2 linked regions of the Caenorhabditis elegans genome follow. The protein of the gene in region 1 purifies or fractionates together with the protein of each later gene. This does not show direct contact. Each region holds a gene or a part of one and is shown in the gene's direction. Other genes may lie near its edges.

What was found. Proteins that work in one complex are often made in the same cells at the same time.
Region 2: the proteins of exos-7 (region 1) and dis-3 fractionate together in Caenorhabditis elegans (co-fractionation; one large-scale study listed by BioGRID). This does not show direct contact.

Annotation. Positions count from the first base shown.
Region 1 is NC_003283.11:20,836,584-20,842,984, forward strand, and holds exos-7 (Ribosomal RNA-processing protein 42), read left to right. Parts: upstream 1-2,281; 5' UTR 2,282-2,285; coding exon 2,286-2,462; intron 2,463-3,655; coding exon 3,656-3,767; intron 3,768-3,817; coding exon 3,818-4,157; intron 4,158-4,585; coding exon 4,586-4,895; 3' UTR 4,896-4,999; downstream 5,000-6,401. Other genes in the region: num-1 (PID domain-containing protein), read left to right, coding at 1-10, 192-457, 510-641; mrps-12 (Small ribosomal subunit protein uS12m), read left to right, coding at 1,497-1,643, 1,688-1,787, 1,838-1,965, 2,019-2,117; F31D4.2 (Sugar phosphate phosphatase), read right to left, coding at 5,557-5,625, 5,797-5,985.
Region 2 is NC_003282.8:10,094,443-10,100,697, forward strand, and holds the start of dis-3 (putative exosome complex exonuclease RRP44), read left to right. Parts: upstream 1-2,759; 5' UTR 2,760-2,765; coding exon 2,766-2,852; intron 2,853-2,899; coding exon 2,900-3,096; intron 3,097-3,269; coding exon 3,270-3,585; intron 3,586-3,903; coding exon 3,904-4,144; intron 4,145-4,367; coding exon 4,368-4,806; intron 4,807-4,863; coding exon 4,864-5,165; intron 5,166-5,283; coding exon 5,284-5,684; intron 5,685-6,255. Other genes in the region: C04G2.5 (BTB domain-containing protein), read right to left, coding at 1-52, 101-337, 397-530, 581-640, 733-783; msp-36 (Major sperm protein 10/36/56/76), read left to right, coding at 991-1,374. UniProt on the Caenorhabditis elegans protein: Putative catalytic component of the RNA exosome complex which has 3'->5' exoribonuclease activity and participates in a multitude of cellular RNA processing and degradation events. Has both 3'-5' exonuclease and endonuclease activities.

The DNA of each region.
Region 1 (6,401 bases):
CAGTTTGAAGGTCAGTTTCTGCTGAAACTAAAAATCCGATAAAAAATGCAAAATTGAATTTTTAAAATCGGTTTTCTTTAAAAAACCAAATGCTGCTTGGCCTTGCAGTTTTTCGGTTTTAGAAAAATCGAAATTTCAGTCACATCTCAAAAAAAAAAAAACTTTTTCAACTCCAATTTGCAATTTTACAGATATCAAACTGATAAGCATCTCATCGGGTGAAAATACGCCAACAACTCGATCAAAAGCCGACGAATGGCTGGATGATGTGCTGAGAGTGTCGATGAGTATGTCACCAACGTCACCATCATCAGATCCACCGTCGACTTCATCGTACTCTGTTCTTCCGAAATCTGGACCCCCACCCGCCCATGCGCCTCCTCCACTACCAGTGAGACAAGCGGTTTCGAATGGAAGCCCGTCGATTTATCAACAGCAGTTACAGCAAGCAAATAGTGTATGTTGCTGGAATTTTGAAAAAAAACACTGAATTTTTTTTTCTATTTCAGACTCGAAATTCGCCGGCTGGAATAAACTGGAACTCGTCTCCAAACCCAATGAAAATCTCCCAGCCACCAGCAAAACCAGTTGATCCATTCGATGTACAGTGGAGCAGATTAGCAGTGAATAATACGCATTAAGAGAACTAATAAATACAACTAATCTTATGTAATTTTGTAATACTAATTTAATAATTTTCTTATTTTAAATTTAAATTCAAATTTTCTAAATATATTGTATTATTATTGTTTAAATATATATTTACAGCCTCTAGTTTCATTCTCCCTTTTCATTTTCCAACCGTTGTGTGGCCAGCCTGATTCTTGTCATTTTCCCGTCTCCATTCTGAAATAGACTGCAATTTCTTTTTCGCTTTTTTCACTGGTTTCCCCCATTTTCGAACATTTTGTGTCTTAAATCAATTTCTCCGTCCTTCAAACAAATAGTAATAAGAAATTTATGCTTTTATGTTGGGATGCGGTTTTTTTTTAAATTTTTCTGGTTACTTTTGTCCCTGAAAATTCAGTATTTGGAAATTGAGTTTTGCAAGAACGGCAAAAAAATTCAGAAGAAAAAACCCGATAATCCGTTTAACGTCGCGTTTCTTTTAATCGCTTATATGAGTGTAATTAAAACAAAAAGTAATTAAAAACTATCCTATTTTTCTGAAAGAAGAATAAATTAACAAAATTTCGGTATTTTTCTGGATTTTCGTTCATTTAAAATACTACTATTTCTAAATTATGTTTTATTGAAGATAACATTACGCTGTCCACATTACTATTCCTTTCAGTTCAATATTTTATCATTTTTCATCTTTCCGATACGTCTGAAGGTTTTAGCAAGAATTTCAGTGAAAAAAAGAGGTAAACGCGCGCCACCGTCACGCGATAGAGATGAGAGACGCGCAGACGACGAGACGGTTATCTTTTAAGCTTTTTGTTTCCGGGAGGCCATGAAACTTTAAAAATCTCTATTAAATTCCTATTTTGTAGATGTTACCTCGTCTTGGAGGATTTCTAGCCGGGTTTTCCAGTACAATCAGCTCATTTCTTCCGAAAACGACCGCGTCTACACTCTTCACACATCAATCATCGCAATTTTCAACTAGTTTTCCTGCTTGGAGAAACAATTTCTTGCAGGTAATTCAATCTTAAATCATGAAGAATAATACTAAAAATTGCAGTTTATTCACTACCGAAATGGCCCACCAAAACGACGTGCTCGCAGTAAGGATAAGAGCGCAATCAGTGGATATTCTCATTACAAAGGAATTGTGCTGAAAAGTTTCCATTTTTAATTCTCTTGAACTAATCAATAAACTAGATATTTTCAGCCGTGATTCGTCACCCCAAAAAGCCAAACTCTGGAAATCGAAAGTGTGCAATTGTGAGATTGTCGACTGGAGCAGAAGTGTGCGCGTATATTCCGAATGTCGGACACAATTTGCAGGAACATTCACAGGTTACACAGTCTCTTTTCGCGAAAAAAAACGTTTTTTTTTTACTTTTTTACAGGTGCTGGTAAAAGGAGGACGTCGACGAGATTTGATTTCTGTCAAAGCCAATATTGTGCGAGGAAAGTACGATTGTGCACCAGCAGGAGGACGGAAATAATCATAATTAGGATCTTCATCTCTAGATTTTTGTTTCTTTGTTTTTTTTTTATTAAAATGTTTTTCTTTAGAAAAGAAATCGATTTATTCAATTTCCAAGTTTCAAAGCTTCTTTTCAATATCTCCATTTCACAAAATCATTTTTCAAAATATATCTTCCTTCAGCCTAATGGAAGTCCATCTTAGCGACGACGAGAAGTTATTTCTGATTACTGGAGCCGAAGCGAACATTCGGAATGATGGACGAAGTTGTCAGGATTTCAGACAGATTATTCTCGAGAGAGGTGTTCTGTCGGGAACGAATGGAAGTTGTCGTGTTCAATTAGGACAGACTACCGACGTTTTGGTGAGGAAATATTGTCGAAATTAATTAAATGAAGCGAAACGTAGTGAGATTTTTGTTTTAAGATATAAAAAATGGATTGTAATACCTGAATCTTCTGGAAAATCGAAAAAGTCGAGAAAAATATTTAAAAAAAACCATATTATTTGATTTTTTGTCTAATTTTGTTTATGAGAAAAAATATTTTAAAAGATTTTCTAAAAAGTAGACAAATGACCAAAGTTTATTAAAATTTTGGTCATTAAAAGAAAATATAAACAAAATTAGACAAAAATCGAATTTTATGGTAATTTTTTGAATATTTTCAAAAAGATTTTTCGATTTTCCCCGAAAAACAAAAAAATTCAAAAATTTCGAAAATCTTTTATTACGTAAACACAAAATTCTGAGAATGCGTATTGCACAGCACATTTGCCGCGCAAAATTTCTCGTAGCGAAAACTGAGGCCCCACGAAAAGGGGAGCAGAACGAAAAGGGGATCTGCAAAAAGGGGATCTGCGAAAAGGGGATCTGCGAAAAGGGGAGATACGAAAAGGGGAGCTGGCACTGTGCCAAACGCACAAAACGCAATTTTTCTCACGCAACGCACGTTGATTTTTGAAATTTTCTTCTAGAAGATACGCTTAACAACACGCGACGCGTAACATCGGAGCATCGTTGTATCGTTTTCTTCGAGAAAAATAGCGTTTGGCACAGTGCCAGCACCCCTTTTCGTTGCTCCCCTTTTCGTATCTCCCCTTTTCGCAGATCCCCTTTTTGCAGATCCCCTTTTCGTTCTGCTCCCCTTTTCGTGGGGCCTCCGAAAACTACTGTAGCGCTTGTGTCGATTTACGGGCTCCATTTTTTTGAAAATTAATTTATTCTCGAATGGCGGGAGCGATGTTCTCTTTATTTTCTTAATTTTAAGTGATTTTCAATACTTTATCGATACATATATAGATAAATTATTTTAATCCATTTGAGCTCGTAAATCGACACAAGCGAGTAGTCTTTTAAAGAATTACTGTAGGTTTCGCTACGAGATATTTTGCGCGTCAGAATTTTGTGTTCCCGTAATATGTCAGACTTTTCAAATAACACCCCACTGGATATGAAGGATTTCTCTACAAAATTAGTGAACATTTTTAAAAAGCTATTGATATATTGAAACTATTTTCTGTCATATAGACTTGTTTTTAAAAAAATATTTTATACAGGCTGGAATCAAACTCGAACTAGAATCATACGATGCTGAAACAGAAAAAGAGCCAAAACAACCAATTAATTTCAACGTGGATTTCTCAGCCAACGCGAGCAGTCAATTCGCTGGTATTAAGCTCTAAAAATCTTAAAAATCCAAAAATTTCAATTATTTTCAGGAAAAGGAGGCGACGAATACGCAGAGGAACTATCGGCAGCATTTCAAGCGGCTTATTCAAAAGCACTCGATATTATGCCGAATCTCGCGAAAACTCAGCTGGCCGACGGATATCGCTGGAAAATTAATGTGGACATTTCGGTTCTTCAGTGGGACGGAAGTGTTTCCGATGCGATTTCTATTGCAATCATCGGAGCATTGAGTGATTTAGAGTTTCCAGAAGGTGACGTTGCACCAGATGATGGAGGAAAAGTGAGAATTGTGTTGAAACGGCCGAAAGTTGCTGGAAATGTTCGAGATGAGAATGTGCAAGTTGCAATGTGGAAATTGGATGTGATGAGGTACAGGCTCCGCCCATATATTGGCTTGAAATTTTTTTTTTTTGAGATATATGACAAAAAATGTTGAATGGAAAATATTTTGTTTTTTTTTTCTTAAAGGGGGAGTAGAGTTTGTGGGTGTTTTACTTAAATAGACTAAAACTGGTTCAAAACCAGCGAATTTCATAATGAGACTTCACAAAAAATGTACGACAATTTATAATGGCGGGTCAAAATTTCGAAAAAAGAGGCAAAGTTTGCTATAATCTGAAATTTTGCCCAATCTTCTTTGTCACAGCCGATGGAATTTGATTTTTCTGATATTATCACCCTTTAATCCATATTTTGGTTATTTACCTCGCGTAAATTCGTTGATTGGGACAAATTTTTTGAGACAAAAAATCCTCAAACTAGTCGTGTTTCACCTCTAAAATGAAAAAAGTATTTAGATGTCCACTGCTGCTGACAATCTCAAAAATTGGCACTGCTAATCTTGTCGACTGCACACCCGAAGAAGAATGCTGCATTCGATCTCAATTGCTCGTTGGATTGGCGGCGATTGCAGACTCTTCTGAAAATAACGAGCCAAATTATGATGTAACGTGTGTGAAACAAGTTGGCGGTGGACTTTTGGAGATGGAATCGATTCAGGAAATGCTGGAATTGGCTGCGAAATCTGTTGGTGGATTGTATGGAGCTCTGGCAAAACGATTGAAAAATGAAGAAATGAGGAAACCGGGACACTCTTTCTTGCTCTAAATTTATGGAATTTATTCAATTTGTTGATTTTTTTTTGAATTGTTACCTCTTATCGTTATCTCGTTTTTTTTCTCACTTGAACAAAAAAATTCATTTTTACAAATATAAGCGTTTATTAATACTAAAATAAATACAACAAATGATTGGGGGAAGTTCTGGATGGGTGGATTGTGAGGTAGGAGCGCAATGGGGGGAATCTAAATCTAGACGATCATTCACACAGAAGAAAAGTGCAGGGAATTGTATTTTGGGAAGTTCTTTTTAATTTCTAAAAAAATATTAGAAAAAATGACAGAATTTCTTAACGATTGCGAACAATTTCAGATTTGAATTTTTAATTTTTTTAAAGCTAAATTTTCGCTTGTTTCTCGAAATTCGGGACCTTTTTTGTAATATATTTAAAAATAACAAAAAAACTTCGCTACTCTACCTTCAAAAAAGTCAAAAACAAGAATTGGGACAGAATAGTTGCTGAGTAAAGTCTACGTGCATGAAAAAGCCTAAAGATGAAATTAGTTGCAGTAGGAGCAATATGATATGAGTGATAAAAAAACTAATTTAGAAGAAAACAGAAAAAAAGGGAACAGCCGGAGACGACGGTGTGCTGGGAGGAAAATGCGATTTAATGGGGTTTTTTGTTGAATATTTGAAGAAAAGGTGATTAGATCCCGCCAAGTTGACATACGGCATACTCTCCTGAAGTCATCCACGTGTTGTCTTCTTCGAATTTCTGAAAACAGGCTTTTTGTTAACCTTATTTAAATTCTCTAAATTTTGAAGTAACTTATCCGATTTTGCGACAAAAAAATTAGCAAGGACCGAATTCTTTTTGATGTCTTATTTTTATAGTTTTTTTTTTCGATTTATAATAACTTTTTTATCAAAAAAAAAAAGTACGAACCTCTAATAAAATAGCGATGGACTCCTCACTCAATCCGGCAACAGTTTCAGCTTTAAGAGTACGCAACGCCATAAATGGACACGGTGCAAATCCACGACAGGCGGTTTTGAACGAAGTATCGAGATCCCAGTCCCGATCACCAACAAGCTTACGGTAATTCAAGTCGCCTTTGAAGATTATTAACGACGACTGAAATTGATTCAAATTTTCAAATTGGGATTTTTTTTGTTGGAAGCTCAGATTTTACAAACAGGTCCCCAGACACTACCAAACTCGCCGAGAAGAGTAGTATACGGTTTTCTCCAAAAACAATTATCGGTTTAGGAACATTTTTGCAAGTTAAAAAACTTTGACAATTATCTATAAATAAATATCCAAACTCTGAGTATGGGTACTGCACAACACATTCGACGCGCAAAATATCGCGTAGCGAAAACTACAGTAATTCTTTAAACTACTACTGTAGCGCTTGTGTCGATTTACGAGCTCGATTTTTTGAAATTAGTTTATTGCCGAATGGCGGGAGCTTCCAAATATTTCCAAATTTTATCGATAAATAAATCTGTGTTTAATCCATTTGAGCCCGTAAATCGACACAAGCGCTA
Region 2 (6,255 bases), on another chromosome or scaffold:
GTTGAGGTGCTGCATTGGATCCAACGGTGCGTCCAGCTTCGTTTCCTTGCAACTGAAACTGGCAGTCTTTATAATGTTCGAAAACCCTAATAATACTTACTATGTTGCAATGCAACAGAGAATCTTCAGATCATTTTCGTTAACCGCATGGAAGACAAATTCTTGCTCGTTCTTTCCAAGAAGATGTTGACAACAGAAGGCATCAACAAAGTCTGTTGGGAATAAATTCCTGGCCTTCTCAGACTCCTCATAGCTTTTGACGTCGAAGTTGTAGTATCCAAGATATCCTTGTTTCCTTGACGGAATAAAGTTGTGCACCATTTTATGGATTTTTAGTCTGAAATGTTATTTTTGGAAGTCTTAGAGATGATCTGAATGTCGGTTTTGCTCACTTACCCTTTCATTTGTGCTTTTTGTTGAACTACACGTGTTTCCACCGGGTTTGGGGTAACGAGCTTAAACCAGGAATATTTATTTGGTGTCCAATCAGAGGTCTCATCGGCTCCTTGCATAGCCAGTCTCGACGAAGTCTGGAAAATTTGTTAGTGCTATTCAAATAAAAAATTCAAGTTCAACTCACTATTACCAAAGAAGCGTCTGAATTTATTGATAGCCTATCAAATTGAGTAGTCATGTTGTTCTATAAAATATCAAAATTTTTATTAAAAAATTTTTATTAAGCTTCTAGACTTGAACTGGTTCTAACTGAATGTTATAATTGAATAAACTCACATTTATATCACAGAAACGATCTGATTTTGACTTATCGTCGTGATTATCCATTTTTGAAACAAGACGAGAGAATGAAGTAATGAATAATATCATCGGGAATTTTCCCGAATAAACTTTAAATTTCCCCGTGAAATCTCATTACCCTTTTCCACGTTTTGTAGTCTATAGATCTGGGACAGTGATAAGAAGGTTGCTATAAATTGAGAATATTTTGCCATAATCTTCATAGAGTTTTCATAACTCCTTCATCGAACGACCATGGCCCAATCCGTCCCACCAGGAGACATCCAAACCCAACCAAACGCGAAGATCGTCTTTAATGCTCCATACGATGACAAGCACACCTATCACATCAAGGTGATCAACTCATCGGCTCGTCGTATTGGATATGGTATCAAGACCACCAATATGAAGAGACTTGGAGTTGATCCACCATGTGGAGTTCTCGATCCAAAGGAAGCTGTGCTTCTTGCTGTTTCCTGCGATGCTTTCGCCTTCGGACAAGAGGATACCAACAACGACCGTATCACTGTTGAGTGGACCAACACCCCGGATGGAGCTGCCAAGCAATTCCGTCGTGAATGGTTCCAGGGAGACGGTATGGTTCGTCGCAAGAACCTTCCAATCGAGTACAATCCATAGGATGTGTGAACTGGGTTTCTTAACAATAAACTTTTTTCAAGTATATGTTCTGTTTTTCTGTTTTAATCTGCAAATTGAATATATATTAATACTCAAGCGAACAAGTTTTGTGTTCCATCGATGCCCTTAACATAAGCATCCGGGATTTATTGTAAATCGTTTGGAACTATAGTAATCCTACCTTAATCTTCCAGTAGTCATTCAGTTCAGAAGACTACCCAACCATACTACTAACCCAGCCCATCTCTCCAAAACCTGAAAGCTGTTTTGCTCCGTAAAGGTCGAGGAGGGTGTATTTTTCTTACAAATCAAAGAAATTAACAAGTGAACCGATCACAACTTTTTTTGCTGATATGAGAGAAAAATACTTTATTGATTGGTTCGAGTAAATTTTCGAATTTTCGAAAAAGGAAAGATCCCTGGTATATAATGTCTCAGCTCTGCTATGTATTTTTCTATTTGAAATTCCGAATTCAAATTTTCTCTAGATGAAAGCCTTGGTATTGAATTCTATGCTGGGTTTAGTAAATTTTCGAATTTTCGATAAAAATTATATAATGAAGAAAAATATCCAAATTGGAGGTATTTTAATTTTAGAATACGGGAACGAAGAAGATCAAGATCACATACAAAGTTTAATGGATCTGAAGACATTTCAATTTATCTGGGTAGAACCAATTCTTCAACTCCAAATTCTACAGTAACCGATTCTTAAACATCTTATGGAAGTCCATCGAGATATGTATTTCATTATCATGTTCTTACCCGTTTTTTTTCAATAATGAGATTCTATATTTCGCTTAATGTTTTTATTGTTCTTATTGCTTCCAAAAATTAACATTAAAACAATAAATATTTTGCATCTTGACAAATTTAACATTTTAAAGTCTGGTCAGATTTCATCCTTGAGGACAGTGCTGTGTCTACATACATGAAAAAAAATCAAAAAGTGGCGATTATTTAGTTTCATCCGCATTAAATTTTGTAAGACAAAAAAGTTTGGCAATTTACCAAATCTATGACTGAAAAATTTTCAAAAATCTAAAAACGTTTTGAGCATTATTTTTTAAGGTTATGAGGCCCTAGATAATCATGTTTCCTACCCGATTATCTATTTTAGATGTTTAAACTTCCGTTTTCATGATTTTAGCCATACTCTATTTAGATATATTCTTCCTTTTCATTTCATTTTTCCTCGCAGCTGCGATGGCAGTGTTGTTCGAAGTGTTCGTTTTCGTAGTGCCTACGACACTCCGATGTTCCACTCGCGCGTGTTGTTCACCGTAAATGTACACTGAGTTTTTCTTCGAATAAAATAGTTTTTCCTTCATTTTTCACCTGATTCGTGCGATTTTATTTGTTTTTCACACGTATTTTCATTATTTGAAGGTATGGATTTGAACGTCAAACAAAGTGGAATTCATTCCGTCGCTTTGCACACGACTTACTTCCAAAATCGCTCGGGGAAAGTCTATAAAGTGAGAAAACCTCTCCGAAATCACCTAACCCAATTAAAATTTTGCAGAGAGCCGAAGAAAGATATCTACGAAATGATCTTTCATGTGGACTTGCTCAATGTGGAACCTGCAAGGATTTCGGCACAAATCCGCTGTTAAAAATTGAAAATCCCGTAAGAAATGCGAAAGTTGGAAGGCACGCGCTGATTGTGGATTCCACATCATTAATCAGATTCTACGATTTGTTTGATTCGTCTTTATTGAGGTAATGAATTAAAATTACAGCGGAATCATTTAAATGTAGATGGTTCTACTGTCCAATTATTAAATTCTTAATTTGTTGCTCCAAATTCAGTTTTTAGAAGTTGTCGGGATTGTAACAAACATCTAGTTTCAATTAAAAACTCTGTAAAATAATAAATTATATTTAATTTTCAGAGATCTCATCGTAACCCAGACTGTATGGGAAGGAGTCAAAGCAAAAGCTGTACCAGCCTACAAGAAAATGAATTCTTTGTGTTATGAAGATGCGAAAGACAGATTTCACGTGTTCATGAACGAATTTCACTGCGAGACCTTCTCCGAATCATCGAAATTTGAGGATTTGAGTCGTGGCGAAGAGCTTCTACTTTCAACAGCTCTTTACTTGAAAACTCATTGGCAGAAGCATAACGTGGCTCCTGTTGTCTTAGTTTTTGATGAAGATTCGAAAAAAAGAATGGAAAATCACTACCAACACGTGATGTATTTAAAGGTTAATAGTCGAAAAGTTCAAAACTCTGTGGATCTTTTCTGAAACTGGCGAAATTTCGAAAAAGAGCCAAATTTTGTTAAAAGAAAATTTTTGATTTCTTAAGACTCATAATGAAATTCTGTCGTTCCGAGCTAGTTTCAGACTATTTCAGCCAAAAACCCTAAAATATACACCTCTTTAACATATTTTCGCCGTAACTAAACTTTTATTCAACTAAAAATCATGATCCTTAATCAAAAATTGTATAATAAAGTACAATAAAGTTTGAAAAATGATCCAGTAACCCCGTAGAAAAAGAAAAAATCTCCAAATTTTCAGGAATACATACAAAATTTGGAGGATCCAGGAAAACAAGCACTTTTGGATCAAATGGCTGCGTATGAAAGCTCTGGAAATGGAAATGAGAAACAAATTTTCGATGAATATCTATCGCATGATAGAATTATGGAGGGAATTGCCAGTGGAACGATCAAAAGAGGAAATTTCAGTGTTTCAAGAGAAAATTATCGCGAAGCTACTGTTATTATTGATGATCAGTTAACATCTTGGTTCATCACAGGTGCTTGAATTTAGTTGAAATATTTATTTTCGAAAACCAACCAAATTTTTCACACAAGTCATTACTTTTTGCTGAGAATTTTAAAAAAACTTTTTTATAACGAAATTAGGTGGTTTTCGGTCATTTTGAGCGAAACAACTCTGAAATTATATTTTTAAAAAAGGTGAAATTTTTCCAAAAATTCCAATTCTCTGAATAATAAAATTTTTATTTCGAATTTTAGGAAATAATTGCAATCGTGCCGTCAATGGAGATACCGTCGCAGTTCAACTTTTGCCAGAAGACCAATGGACTGCTCCAGAGAAGAAAATTCGACTCCGTGACGTTGAAGAATATGTTAAAACTGCAGATGACATGGGAAATGAAGACGAGGAGAATGATGACGAGAACGATGAGCCAAAAGCTAAAAAGTCGAAGAAAATGACTGTTTCAACTGCAAAAGTTGTTGGAATTATCAAAAGAAATTGGCGTGAATATTGTGGAATGTTGCTGCCAAGTACAGTGAAAGGAGCCAGAAGACACTTGTTCTGTCCAGCTGAACGACTTATTCCAAGAATTCGAATCGAGACGGAACAGGCTGAAACTTTATCACAGCAGAGAATTGTGGTGGCTATTGATCACTGGCCAAGAGATTCCAAGTATCCACTTGGACATTACGTCAGGTATGTGAAATTTCAGAAAATCTTGAAATATTTTAACGGAATGACTGTTGTTTTCAGATCAATCGGAGAGATGGGATCCCGTGAAACTGAAAATGAGGTTCTCCTTCTCGAACATGATATTCCACATGCTCCATTCTCAGAATCTGTTCTTGATTGTCTACCACGTGAAGAATGGGAACCAGATCTCACTGAAAACCGCGGCCCTCTACCACGTGTTGATTTGAGAGATTTAACAATTTGTTCAGTTGATCCACTTGGATGTACAGATATTGACGACGCATTACACTGTAAACAAATTGGAGAGGATCTTTTCGAAGTTGGAGTTCATATTGCAGATGTCACGCATTTTGTTAGACCAGGTAAATATACTGAAATTATTTAAAAATTCAAGTTTTACTAAAAAAAATGTTTGTCCTTTGAGGTTCGAATAAAACCTCATTTATTTTCAAAAAAAGAACCAAAATTTCCTACGTTTAGGAACCGCAATCGACGATGAAGCAGCATTACGTGGAACTACAGTATACCTTTGTGATCGTCGTATCGATATGCTTCCATGTCTGCTCAGTTCCAATTTGTGCTCACTTCGCGGAGAAGAAGAGCGTTATGCATTTTCGTGTATTTGGACAATGACTTCTAGTGCTGATATACAATCAGTTAAATATCACAAATCTCTAATTAAATCAAAAGCTGCATTGACTTATGAGAAGGCACAAGAGATTATTGACGATCCAAAAGAGCAGAATGACGTGGCATTGGGATTACGTGGATTGATGAAATTGTCGAAAGTTTTGAATGCGAGAAGAACTGGAAATGGAGCATTGACGTTGGCATCGAGTGAAGTTCGCTTTGATATGGATTGGGAGTCCAGAACACCAAAGGTTTAAAATTTAAAAAATATTACAAAAAAAAAAGTTATATTCAAATTCAAAGAAGAAATATATTTTATACAACAGAGCGACCTAGAAACTGATTTTCATTTAGATTATTACAGTAATCTCTCATTAGAGCGCGCTTGCGAAATTTCCAGTTCTTTTTTGCTAACTTTTAAACCATTTTAAACCAATAAAAATGATTTAGATCAGGCAATATCCCTCAAAATGATTTTTATTTGAAAACATTTCTTGGGAGTTTTGTGAAATTTGTTTTAAAAATACTCAGACAACCCTATTTCTCATCTAATTAGAAAAATAGGATGAACTAACGCGCACCAGTTCGGCATGCTTTTTTTCTAATTCGACGCGCATTGTTTCTAATTCGACGAGCATCCCTTCTAATTAGATGTGGTGTGCGTGTTTTCTAATTAGATATGCATCCTTTCTAATTAGAAAATCCTTTTCTAATTAGATGTGGTTAATTTCTTATTAGATGTGGCTATTTTCGAATTAGATGAAAAATGGGGTTGTCTGAGATACTTGGCTTATGTATGCTGTTGCTGATCAAAAATGATCA